2 linked regions of the Diceros bicornis minor genome follow. Each later gene encodes a partner of the first gene's protein in a complex. Links are inferred from orthologs where the notes say so. Each region holds a gene or a part of one and is shown in the gene's direction. Other genes may lie near its edges.

Region 1 (7,216 bases):
TCTTGAATTGATCATAGGATTTTTATCCTTTAATCTGTTAATGTGGCAAATTACACTGAGTTTTGAATGTTAAATCAACATTGCAATCCAGGGATAAACTCCATTTGGTCAGGATTTATTTCTCATTTTTATATATACCAGGTTTGATGTGCTAAAATTTGCCAGATTTTTGCATATATATGCTAACATGAATATTGAGCTCAATTTTCTTTCCTTGTAATGTCCTTGTCTGGTTTTGGTATCAGGATTATGCTGGCCTCGTAAAATGAGGGGGCAATGTTACTGCCTCTATATTCTGAAAGAGTTTGTGTAACAGTGATATTATTTCTTCCTCAAATGTTTGAAGAGAAGAGCAAAGAACAAAGGAGACAGATAGAAAATAGCACTAAAATAGCAGATTTAAACTCAAACCTTATAATAATTGCATTAAATGTAAATGGACCAAGCACTCCAATTAAATTCAGTGGGGGAAAGGAAGGCTATTTCAACAAGTGGAGCTAGAACGACTGGATGGAATCCATATAAGAAACAACAGCAACAACACAAAACCTAGACCTCTGGCTCATATCATGAAAAAAAATTTTTTTAATTAATTAATTAATTATGGCTCATAGACCTAAGTATAAAACCTAAAACTATAAAGATTCTAAGAAAATATACGAGAGTATCTTCATGAACTTGGGGTTAGATTTCCTAAACAGGTTACAGCAAACACTTGAAAGAAAAAAGAATTTTCTGCTCCTCTTAAGATACTGTTAAGCAAAAAGGCAAGCAACAGGTCAGGAGAAAAGACGTGTATCTGACAAAAGATATGTGTATCCAGACTATATACTCCTACAACTCAACAATAAAAAAAAAAGCAAATAAACCAATTTAAAATATGGGGAAAAGACTTGAAGAGCCACTTCAAACATGACATAGGAATGGCCAATAAGCACAATGAAAACTGTTGAACATAATTAACAGAGAACAGCAAATTTAAACCACAAAGGCATGTAACATTAGAAAGACCGACAAACCAAAGGTGAGGAAGGTTACAGCTTGCTAGTGGGAGTGTAAAATGGTACAACCACCTTAAAAAACTTGATTTTTTTTTGGTGAGGAAGATTGGCCATGTGCTAACATCTGTGCCCATCTTCCTCTATTTTGTATGTGCGACGCCACCACAACATGGCTTGATGAGCCCTGCATATGTCTGCACCCTGGTTCCGAACCTGGGAACCCAGGGCGGCCAAAGCAGAGTGCGCCAACATAACCACTACGCCACCCGGCAGGCCCCTTGAATTTTTTTATAAAGTTAAAAAAATATATAGATCTACTCTCTGCTCTTTGACCTAGCAATTCCACTCCCAAGTATTTATCTGAGAAACATGAAAACATATGACCACAAAAAGAATTGTACAAAATGTTAATAGCAGCTTTATTCAAAATAACGGGCAACAACTCAAATGGCCATCAAAAGGAGAATGGATAAACAAGCGATGGTTTATTCATCTAATGGAATATACTAAATTTAAAAAAAAGCAAAATACTGATACACCACTAATAACATGCAATAACATGGATGAATTTCACAGACATTATGCTCAAGGAAAAAGCCTGACACAAAGGAGCACATACTGTACGATTTCATTTACAAGTTCTCCAACAGGCAAAAGAAATCAAAATAGAGGTGGGGGTCAAAGACAGACCGGACAGAAGCATGAGAAACTTTTCTGGGGTGATGAAAATGTTCTATATTTTGATAGGCGTTACACGGTGGTTAGCTGCCAAAACTCGTCTAACTGCAGTGGGTATAAATGCTACCTCAATTTAGACAAAAGATAAGCACAGAAGTACCGCGCACAGTGTCTGGTGCGTAGCAGGTGCGTGCTAAGTGGCTGCTGAATGAAACGACCGCGACCCAAGCGATGAAGATGCAGGAGAAAGGGATTCGCGTTGGATTTCGCGGAGGTTCCGCACCCTGCCATAGGAAAGAACTAGCCGGGACCGGAGAGCGATACTCAGGTCTGCGGGGCCCGCCCCTCGCCAAGACCCGCCCCTTCCGCTGTCACGACGTTCAGTCTGCGTCCGAAAGTGGAATGGCTTAGCCCAAAGCCGGAAACAAGAGAAAGTGTTTCTCCGCCACAAACGACCTGTCGTTACACTCCTTCATCATTTAATTCTCAAATGTGCCCTTTAAAAAAAAAATACCCAGGGGTTTCCCTCTGCACCCTTTAAAAAAAAAAAAACCCATCCCACGCAATGGTAGCGTCCGCCGAGGTTGCAGTCGACCAGGGTGGAGCACACCATTCAAACGGGGGAGGGACTGAGGTTTGCATCAAAACAAATATATCTTCCTTTCCCAAAGCGGTAACTAAGTACTCCAGGAAGAAAGAAAAAAGAGGTAGAGGAGGGAGTTAGCAGCCTCCCTCCGCAAGTAATAGGAATCAGTCTAAAAGACATTTTCTGTCTCTCTGCTCCCCTCTCATCGGGTGAATAGTAAGCTGCCCCCAAAAAAGAAACCGGAAATGCTCCTGCAAAGGGCAGAAATGTAAATGTAGAGCCAAACAATAACAGGGCTCTCGGGCCTCTGAGACCGGGATAGTCCTCCCTGGTTTCGCGGGCAAATCTCTCGTTTAGCACTTCCCACTTGCACGACTGACAGGCTTTAACTGGATTTTCTCCATCTAGCGGAGCCGAGGACCGGTTGCAGAGACCATTCCAGGAAGGACAAAGGTCCGGAAGTTACGGGACCTTAGCAGCTTGGGCTTCCCAGATCACCCCGAATAATCATTTCGGAATGAAGCCCGAGGTTCCACCAGCATGCCATGGGCTCTAAAATCTCGAACCATGAATTCCCAAAGTTCCGAGATCCGAAAGTCTGAGACCCTCATGCTCTGTGCGTCTTATTTCAGGATTCCCCACACCCGGCACTGGGATGGAGGGGGGGTGGGGAAGAATCCCGTAGGCCGGCTCAAGTTTCCCCCAAAGTCCCACTCCCCGCCCAGGTGTTCAGCTTTGATTTCAACTGACAATTGAATTCCTAATATCCCCATCATCTACACCCAGGCCTCCCAACATTGCATTCCTATGTTGGTGCCGCCAAACTTCCATCCCCCCAAAATCGCTAAGTCCCCAGTGCCCCACCCCCAACCCCCACGATTCTCCCGAGCTGAAAATACACGGAGCCGAGAGCCCGTGACTCAGAGAGGACTCATCAGGCTCAGTCACGAGCTTACCCGAACCTCACGGGAGCGTGTCACCGTCCTGGAAAGCACGCCCCGAGGCCGGACGCCAGGTGACTCCGGAGCCTGGCGGCTACCTGCACCCAGGATGGTGGCTCTGGACTTTTGAGAAGCTCAAAACTTTTAGCGCCAGTCGGAGCACATGGGAGGGGAAAATCCCAATCCCAGCAAGCCCCGCGAGGCTTCTGGCACAAAGCTGGACAGTCGCCATGACAAGTAAGGGCAAGCAATTCGCCTTCGGGCGGAGGCTATAGGAATGCAGAGTCGGAGAGGAGGGCACGGAGAAAGTTAGGATTCTCGCGGTGTTGGTGCTGTAGCTATTGACATTTTGGGGTGGGGAAGTTCGGCAAGCCAGAGCCGTGAGGGCAGAATTGGTGGAAACCGTTTTGGAAGACTCCTGCCACTGTGTCAGATATGAAGGTGGAAGGAAGAAAGCCTCTGCACTTGCTGTTCCTTCTGCCTGGAACACTCCTTTCCCAGATAGCTGGATAGTTTCTTCTCATCAGCTAATATCTTACCTTTTTGGAAGGCCTTCCTTAATATCCCAATCTAACGTATTCCTCCAGATACTATATATCACGCTATCTTGTTTAATTTCCTTCACAGCTTTTATCACTTTCTGAAAAGATTTGTTCCTTGCCTTCAATACACAGCAACATAAGCCTTAGGAGGGCAGGGACTTTGTCTACTATTTTATTCATTGTTGTATTTCCCAGTACTCAGTTCATACTGGGTAGCAAGTAAGAGCTCAATAATAAATATTTATTGAATGAATGAAAAGACAGAGGTCTGAGGAATTTGGCGAATGAGATGCCAAAGAGGTTCAGAAACCTGTAAAATCAAATACAACGCCGGCGCCCTCTGCAGGTTGGGGAGTAAGAAGTAGGTGTTTTTAGCATGACCGCGGGAAGAAGACAGGGGGAGCTCAGACGCTTCTCTCGGAGGCAGAAGCTTTCAGACTACAACTCCCAGCAGCCTCTAAGAGCCCCGGGGCTTGATGGGAACGGTAAACCGGGACCTGTTGCGTCCCTGCCCCGCCCCTCCCGTGGGTCGCCCGCGAAATCTGATCCGGGATGCGGAGGTCCAATCGAGAGGTGGGCCCAAATCCCGCGAGAGCAAGTGGCGCGTAGCGACCGACGGGGCTGAGGGATGCCGTGCTTTTAACGTTGGTGTCCACTTCTTCGCCTTGCCTTCCGGGGGTCTTCTGCCCCCTCCCGGAAGAAGAAGGAAGGCACAGGTGGGTTTTTCTCCAGGATCCGTGCGAACTTTGGAGCTGTCTCGGCTGCTCCGCGGGCCAGGCAGCTGGTAGCCAGCGGGAGGAGGGTTGCCTGGCCGAGGCCAATGTCTGCCGCGCTTCCTCTGCAGAATGAAGACGCCGGAGGCGCCACTCTTAGGTCCGGACTGCCTTCTTTCAGACCAGGCCCCAGCTCCAGCCCATCTCTCTCCTAAGCCTTCCGCGGTGGATAAAAATACGGACCCTGAACGGATGCTACCGCCACCCGATGGGGATGATCCCCCCCAGGTGTCCCCAGATCCCGCGGCTGGCTCAGCTGTGTCCCAGGAGCTGAGGGAGGGGGACCGAGCTTCCCTCTTCACTCCCCTGGAAATAGGGTTTGGTACTCCTAGTGAGTTGAGCCCTCGAATCGAGGAGCAAGAACTTTCTGAAAATGTGAACCTTCCTGCAGAAGAAACTAACAGGCCAGAGTCGGGGCCTGGAGAAGCCGTGGAAGGTGTGTCTGAGGACCCAGCTCCAGAGGAGGAGGGATACACGTAAGTGGTGGTGGCAGTTGCCTCAGGAATCTGAGGAGATTGAAGTGTGAGATGTGTGGACGTATGAGATATACCTTATCCGCCAGTCCTCAGCCCCACTTCTCCAGACCCATTTCCTTTTTCCTTTGGCGACCCAGGTTTGTTGTCCCCCCATCTTCCTTCCAGCGCTTGGAACTACAGCTTCTCCCAGCTACCTCGGTTTCTCAGTGGTTCCTGGTCAGAGTTCAGCACCCAATCTGAGAACTTCTTGAAAGGGTGTAAGTGGTAAGTAAGGATAATGGGGCAGAGAGATAACCATGCCCAGGATTTTCACCTTAGAACACTCCAGTTAGTTGGGAGAAGTATCCACCAGAGGTGGGAGAAGGAGTAAGTATCCCTCTTGGACTGAGCTTAAATTTCATCTAGGATTGTGTGTCTTCTACTTCCTCCAAGGTTTTGGGGGCCTTACCTACCCCAGAGGTAGGCTCAGCCCTAGCCCTACACTTGGAAAATATAGATCTGTCCAGCTTTCTTACTCTTCCCTACTCCTAGGGCCCCTGATGGTTCCTGCATCTTGACCAATAGTGCTGATAACATCCTGCGGATTTATAACCTGCCCCCAGAGCTGTACAATGAGGGGGAGCAGCTGGAATATGCAGAAATGGTAAGGGTAGGGGCTAACTCTGCTCCTTCATCAGACACTGCACATTTAAGTCCTTCCTGTAGATGGAGAAAGTACAGTCCACATGTTTTCTGTTCACAAACAGGACATTTCTTCACCATGAATTTTCACAGGTAGTGTTTTCAACCCTGAATTCTGAAGTCATTTAAACAGATGTTTGTCCTTTCTTTAGTCAGGAATATGTGTTTCCCATAAAAGAATAGTGGATTTCTCATGGCAGTGTTTAATTGGCTTACAGATATTTATTGATTGAATACCAGTGTGTCAATCACTGTGTTTGGTGCTGGGATAAAGTGGTGAAGGAGACAGATGAAGAGCTGATTTGCTTTCTTGTGTGTGAGTTAGACAACAAACATGTAAACCAATAGATAATCAAGTTCATGACAGATTATAATAAATGCTATGAAGGAAATAGAATGAAGAGAGACTAACTAGAGGATACCACTTTATATAAAATGGTCAGGGAGAGGCTCTCTGAAAAGGAGACATTTGAGCTGAGACCTGAAGGATGATGAGATCAGTCAAGTGAAGAACTGTGGAAGGAGCATTCCAGGAAGAGGCAATGATATTACAGACCCAGAGCTGAGAAAGAGCTTTGTGTATTCAGTGAACAGAAAGAATGCCAGTGAAGGGGAAGCGTGGTGAGGATGGAGAGGTGGCTAGCAGCCATGTCGTTTTGGGTCTTGTGGGTAGGGCATTTGGAGTTTATTTGGGAAGCCATGGGAGAGTTTTAAAACAGGAGAGTGAAATGATGGCTGAAGTTTAGAGAATGGATTGTGGGTGGGCAAGAGTGAAATCAGGGAGACTCATTAGGATGCGTTTATCACAGTCCAGGCGAGAAATGATGGTAGGGTGGTGTCGGGCGAGATGGAGAGAAGTGGATGGATTTGAAGTATGTTATGTAGGACTTGGAGGTCAATTGGATGTGGGGGTGCAGGGAAGGAAGCAATCAAGAGTGATGTCCCGGCTTTTGCAGCTAGGTGGATTATGGTACAGTTTACTCGAAGGAGGAAACAGGGATATGAAGAGGTATTGGGTTGGGAGTCAAGAGTTTTTAGGTACATTAAATGTGAAATGTAAATCTAAGAGGAGAAATTGGGGCTGGGGATATACTTTTATTTATTTATTTTTTCCCCAAAGCCCCAGTAGATAGTTGTATGTCATAGCTGCACATCCTTCTAGTTGCTGTATGTGGGACGCAGCCTCAGCATGGCCAGACAAGCGGTATGTCGGTGCGCGCCCGGGATCCGAACCCGGGCCACCAGCAGTGGAGCGCGCGCACTTAACCGCTAAGCCACGGGGCCGGCCCTGGGGATATACTTTGAGAAGTGGGAGAGCGTGTAGATGGTATCTTATGCTTTGAGAACGGATTCAATGTCAAGTATAGATGGAGAAGGAGAAGGCTCAAGCAGAGCCCTGAGCGCCCCAGCATGTGGAGGTGGGGTGCAGGAGAAATTACGAAAGTGGAGACAGAGTCATGTCCAACGCTGTTGAGAGTGAGGCAAATTTAGAGAATGACCTAAGAAGACATTAGTGACTTGTCAAGAGCACTTTCAGA
Region 2 (6,037 bases), on another chromosome or scaffold:
GGCACACACAAGGTCCTCTGCCTGGCCCTGCAGGAATGGGTCAGGGCCCAGCACTCATCCTGGCCAGTTTGCACGGCTCAACTCGATGTCTTGATGCCGGACGGTATGGGAGGACTCTGGCACTTGATGTCAGAGACCTAAATTCCAATCATTGCTCCTCGCTCTATGACACAGGAAACCTCTCTGAGCTTCATTCAGTCTTCTCATCTATTAAATGAAGATTACCATAAAAACGCTTGCCTGAACTCACAAGGATGTGAGGACCCCTGAGACAAGATACCTGCAAAAACATTATAATCTGGGAAGTGGGTAAAGAGGCTTATTCTCCTCCTCCTCCTCATTATTATTATTACACTTTTTGTTCTCATAGCATCTCCATCACGCTCATGACCTGCCCTCAAGTATTCCTAAATAGTCTAATCTCTTTTGTCCATCCCAAAGTCCTCCTTATTTAAAGCCCTAGGATAATTCATCTCAGGTCTCCCCACTTACATAAGAAAGCAGGAAAGGGCTTCTGCATCAGGACTTTGGGATAAGTGCCTCCGGGCCAAGGCTTTGTAGCGCTGCCAGCGTCGGAAGTTCTCATAAACACCCTTGGAGGTATAGGAGAGGTCACCCAGCGAGGACTTGGATCGAGCAGCCGCAGGACCTCCTTCCCCGGATGCCCCAAGTGGCCCTGGCCAAGCCTTTTCCTGGGGCACAATGGGGGCCAGTTGGGCAGCTGTTGGTGGAGCCTGAGCAGGAAGGCCTAGGAGGCCCTCCTGGCTCACCCCAACAGGCTTACTGGGCAAAAGGGTCCTCACGTTAGAGGCTGTCATGAATTGAGGGGGAAGACCCTCGGGGCCCCCACAGGCAGCATCTGAGGCAATCCAATTGAGGGCGGTCTGAGCAACGATAAAGTTCTGAGTTTGAGAGGGCTCAGCTGGTGCCTCTTCTGTCTTGACTTTGACAATGACTTTGCCAGCTCCAACCCCACTGGGTCCAGGGCCCCCATCCCCTGTCAGCAACAATGGGCTGGGGAAAGCAGAAAGCACCAGAGGGTTGCCTGGAGAGAAAGCTGAAGGCATGGGGGGCTGTGGAGGTGGCTCCCAAGGTGGTTGGTCTGGTGGGCCAGCAGCTGGTGGGGGAAAGGGAAGTGCAGTGAAAGGAGACCGGGTGGCGCCAGGTTTCATGGTCACATCCGGTCCCGGCAACGGAGATGCTGGTGAGACAAAGAAAAAGAGGGCATGGAGTAGGAGAAAAGGAGACCAGAAGTCAGATCATCAGAGTTCCACTTTAGTCCCTGAAGAATCAGAGTTCCGATTCTCAACAGGTGAGGGAGGAGATATGGAGAGAGAACTTGTATAGTTTGCAATGTCCCCCAAGTGATCTTGATGTCCCTTACTCCCAGTTAAGAATTATTGCACTAGAGAAGCTGCAATAATTCTTGGACCTATGAGCTCATGCCCCATAACTCATTGCACCCAGCATACAGGTACACCTTTATTCCCATCCATTCCCAACACATTCAAACCACCTGAACCCTACTCCCAGCTGCTCTGTGGTCCCTGCCACCACTCACAGAAGTGTTGTTCCCAGAAGAGGATGTGTGGATTAGATGTTTGGTTCCCAGCACTTCTGTTATATAACAGCCAGGAATGACTGGAGATAAGGGTCAGGAAATGAGCAAGGGCAGGGTGGTGTGGGGAGGGAGGTTTCCAGAGCTTCAAGTAGCTGCTGGACATGTTAAAATTTGGCAATGCAGACTATCTGTGATCCTTCTGCTTGAAGTTCCTAACATCAGAAATTTAGGGCCCACTATGAACAAGGCACTGATAAGGAAGTCCAAAACACAGTACTTGCTGAGGAGGAGCTAAGCGGACTCCAGTCAAAGAGACGAAAGATAAATACACAAAACGTGTACTTAATTAATCAGGACATGTGTCTCCTAGGACTTTTAACAATAACAATAGAAGATCATCTGTCTAATTTCATGCTACTCTCCTCCCCTCTTATAAAGAATATCCCACTGGCAAACTAACAACACTCAGTTTCCGTTTCCAGACCATGAAGGAGACACGGAATATGAGCAAACTCGTCATCTCAACCACAGAGCAGAGGGCCAGGAGTACTCCACCAAGTACGGAACACAAAGAAATGGGTTTGAATGCCTGAGCTCCACAAAAGGTAGAAAAGCTGAGAGCATCTCAGGGAAGCCCCAGCTCTTGTACTGGCTGGAGTGACCCACCTCCCCTGGCCCTGGCGGAGGAATCAAGGAAAACTGCTCCCTGAACTGAGAGAGAAGCCATCTCTGGGGCTGGAAGGAGCCATGAGGCTCTGAGCAGAGGCGCTTATAGTACCTTCCAGTCTAGCTTTCGGGAGGACATTTCTCTACAGACTTGGCAACAGATAACCCCACTGAACAGTTTTCCAGCTAAGGCCTCCACCCCCCACCCCCTCAGTAAGATCCAGAATGGCCCCAGCTCAATTCTCTCAGGGCAAAATTCTAGAGCACCCTCCGGTTGCCTAAAGAAGACACAGGAACTCGAGGCTTCCCCTTGAACCTTCTCTGGGCCCCACACATACTCCTGCCCCTGCCACACAAGCATATGTTAAAAGGGTCCCTCTTCCAGAGAAGCAAGTTGTTAACTGCCATTCCTTCTCTATCATCAGCACTTTCCTCTGAGGTGCTTTGATCTGTCTCCCAGGAGGCCTTCTTCCTTCCCCAACCCCCAGTCTTAATGGCACAACCTCCTTCCCCAGCCTCCCCCAGTGAGAGGCCTTTGGTGAGGTCTCTAGTGATCTCGCATCCCTCTAGATCAGCCCAAAGAGCCTGTCCCCAAGTAAAGCATCAAATTTTAATCCTGAAGGATGTGAGCAGGTGGCAGGGACCCTCCCGCCCACCTGCAGACTTACTTCCATCTGAAGCCATCCTCTCAGGTTTGGGCGCTAACCGTGGCTGTCTGGAAGCCTCCAGAATGAGACAGTCAGGTTCAGGACCCAGAGAGTAATCTGGCTCCAGTAGAGGCACAGGGATCCAAGGAAGGGAGGGTAAAGATCAGATTAAAACAGAACTAGAATCTAGGACTCAAGGCATTCTGCAGTGGGGGAGGGGACAGCAGAATATGGGGTGGGGGGAGGGAGATACTCCACAAAGGGTTCTAGTAAGCAGTAACAAGGAATTCCCTCCAAACCAGAGTATGGCAACACAATTGTTGTGTACCTCTTTAGGGATATTTGTATATTCGTTCTCAGATTCCCAACATTATAGTTTTACATCTCAGTACCCTATACAACTCTTCACCAATATATCTAGTTCTGTGCCCTTCAATCCCATCCAGTTCTGTACCTGATTTCCCATTAATAGCAGGTTGTGGCAGACCCTTGACTTAATTCAATGTTGGCTATATTTTCTGAACCAAATTCAGAGCACATAGTCTGGTGTACTTAAGGATCAAGGGAATAGAATGTCTGAAATTAGGGTTGTCTCATAAGACCCAGGGTGTTCAATTGCTGTATGCATATCATTTCCTTGGAAAGCTGTCCTGCAGTGCCCCAACAGTCCACTTCCATCAGCTCTGCAGTCCACAGAAGGCTCAGCCTTACCCCTGGCTGAAAAGCCCCACTCTATCAAAAACTGCCATTCAGCCTAAAATTTCAAGACCAAAAAGTCCTTCCTTTTGTTTGTTAAATTATTTTGTTTTAAAATTTTGTTAAATAATTTTAATTTTTTAAATGGGTAATACATCAGCATGGTTCAAAAGTCAAACTATGCAAAATGGAATATACAGCAAGTCTCCCTCCCACTCCTTTCCTCTGGGACGGAGTTCTTTATCCCAGAGGAAACCAATATTATGTTTCTTGTGAATCCTTGCAGAGATATTTTATGCAACTACAAGTGAATACAAACTATATTCTTTAAAAAAAATAAAGTCTTTCAGTTTTTCTGGTTATAAAATTAATACATGCTCCAATGTTTTTGCTATTATACATAATACTGCAACGATCATCTTTGTAATGATATCTGGGCTCCAATTTTCGTTTTTCAAACTAGAGTCCTATAAGGAGAATTTCTACGTTCTTTTAAAAATTGGAAATACCCTTCGGAGGTACATCTTATTATGCTATTATTAGCTACTCACCACCATAAGAGCGCTGAATTTGTGGTAAAGAGACCTGAGTTTGAATCTTGGTTCGACCTCTAAAACATACTTCACCAGTTTCATAAAATAACTTCACGCTCTCCTCGCTGTACAGAATATTGAATACCCATCATGCACTCTTTACCGCCAATACTTTGAAATAGGGCGCGGGGATCGGATGTAAAAGAGAGGAGGGAAGAAAACCTTCTTCTTTCTTCCCTAAGGTAAAGGGGCTCTGGATCCTGGAGCTATTGTTTCTCCAGACACTAGAAACACACTGCCCCTGAAATGGGTGTGCATCTTGAAATAAAGACAGGATTCTATTCATCAATGTTCAACTCATATCCATCCTTACCCCCCTCTAACGCCTAGCAGCCTAGCAGTGTCGGGCACACAGGGGGCACACTCCACGCGTCTCTGAACGCCTGCAAGGTTGCAACTGGGCGCCAACGCCAGCAAAGTTGCAACTGGGTTGCAACTGGGCCAACTCTTGCACTAGGGCTCCCCCTTTTGGCCAGCTGGAGAAAGGCCTAAGTGGACTACATTTCCCGGCATGCCTAGAAAGAGACTTCCGGCTATGCAGGAAGGAAATTGACAAACACGTGAGGCGGTCTGTTGGACGGAGCTGCGCACGGAGTTGGAAGTTCTGGCTGTAGTCTGATCATGTTCCTCCAGTATTATCTCAACGAGCAGGGAGACCGGGTCTATACGCTTAAGGTGAGTAGAGGAAACAGGTTGTGAATGGGTATGGCGAGAAATGTAGGTGGGAGCAGCGGTTGAGACCAGGCACCGAGTTGCCTCCCTGGGTGAGGCGAACTAGAAAACCCAGAAGCCAGGCGTGGTAGAAGCGGGAGTGTATGACCCCTTCGTCTGTCCGTCACGTCTTCTGTCCTGTTTACCTTTTTTTGCGCGGCCCCCTCCCCATCCCAGCCTCCATCTCCCTTTAGACGCCGGTGCTTGAGTTTTCCCATCACTCCTGTACTGATGTTCTCTGTTTCTTGAGCAGAAGCTTGACCCTGTGGGACAACAGACCTGCTCGGCCCATCCTGCTCGGTTCTCCCCAGACGACAAATACTCTCGACACCGAATCACCATCAAGAAACGCTTCAAGGTGCTCATGACCCAGCAACCGCGCCCTGTCCTCTGAGAGTCCCTTAAATTTCGTGTGTCTTCTGCCGCCTGCTACCCCTCAAGAGACTTTCCGAAACCACGCTCTTCAATCTGTGAGCCTTGAGGCCTTCTGACCACCCTTGCTCTGTGGAATCCGGTCTCATCATTGCTTTTGATCATGCTTGTGTGAGGCAATCATGGTAGCATCTCCCTTAAAGGGAACAAGTTTGAATCTTCTTTTCATGTTTTCAGTCACTGCCAAGTTATTAAAATGATTTGAAGGAGCTCTTGTTTTGTATGTTGTGGGAAGAAAGAAGTGGTTTAAAAACAAAGACAAAAACGAAGGAGCTGAGAGGGAAGAGTACTCCCAAAGGTACAGCAAGTTCACTTGGAAGAAAAACTTGAGTCGCTGCTGCAGCAGGAGTCCTGCTGTGCTGTTAGTGATAGGAGGGTGTTGAGGAAGGGGAAGAAAGGTTGAGAAAGACGCGTCCACAACTGTCAGCATTCTCTGAAAAATACCCCTGTTGTCACTTAAATAATTTCTTGCCCCTTGAAATGACATTGACTCAAAATGGAAGAGTTGCTTGAAAAATAATAGCTATTTTGTAGAGGGAAGGCAGTGAATTGGAAGTCAGGAGACCAGGATTCTCCCCTCTTTGTATAACTTTGAGAAAGTCACTTAACCTGTTCAGTCTCATTTTTCTCATCATTTCTAAGTTCTCTTCCAACTCTAAAATTGATAGGGTTCAGTGGTGGATCTTAATATATCTACAGTGTTTGTGCAGCCGTTGTGAATAGCAATGCCT

Evidence for each region. The genes of interacting proteins can lie anywhere in the genome.
Region 2: WRAP53 (region 1) and NOP10 share a complex: the UniProt entries of both Homo sapiens proteins name them as parts of the telomerase holoenzyme complex. The link is inferred for Diceros bicornis minor from reciprocal best matches to the Homo sapiens genes WRAP53 and NOP10.

What each region holds. Positions count from the first base shown.
Region 1 is NC_080757.1:10,678,918-10,686,133, reverse strand, and holds the start of WRAP53 (telomerase Cajal body protein 1), read left to right. Parts: upstream 1-4,209; 5' UTR 4,210-4,224; coding exon 4,225-4,464; exon of another isoform or gene 4,465-4,593; coding exon of another isoform or gene 4,594-4,677; coding exon 4,678-4,997; intron 4,998-5,162; coding exon 5,163-5,261; intron 5,262-5,528; coding exon 5,529-5,640; intron 5,641-7,216. UniProt on the Homo sapiens protein: RNA chaperone that plays a key role in telomere maintenance and RNA localization to Cajal bodies. Specifically recognizes and binds the Cajal body box (CAB box) present in both small Cajal body RNAs (scaRNAs) and telomerase RNA template component (TERC).
Region 2 is NC_080744.1:31,624,810-31,630,846, forward strand, and holds NOP10 (H/ACA ribonucleoprotein complex subunit 3), read left to right. Parts: upstream 1-4,722; 5' UTR 4,723-4,784; coding exon 4,785-4,838; intron 4,839-5,127; coding exon 5,128-5,268; 3' UTR 5,269-5,515; downstream 5,516-6,037. Other genes in the region: NUTM1 (NUT family member 1), read right to left, coding at 493-1,201, 2,896-2,991, 4,249-4,252. UniProt on the Homo sapiens protein: Required for ribosome biogenesis and telomere maintenance. Part of the H/ACA small nucleolar ribonucleoprotein (H/ACA snoRNP) complex, which catalyzes pseudouridylation of rRNA.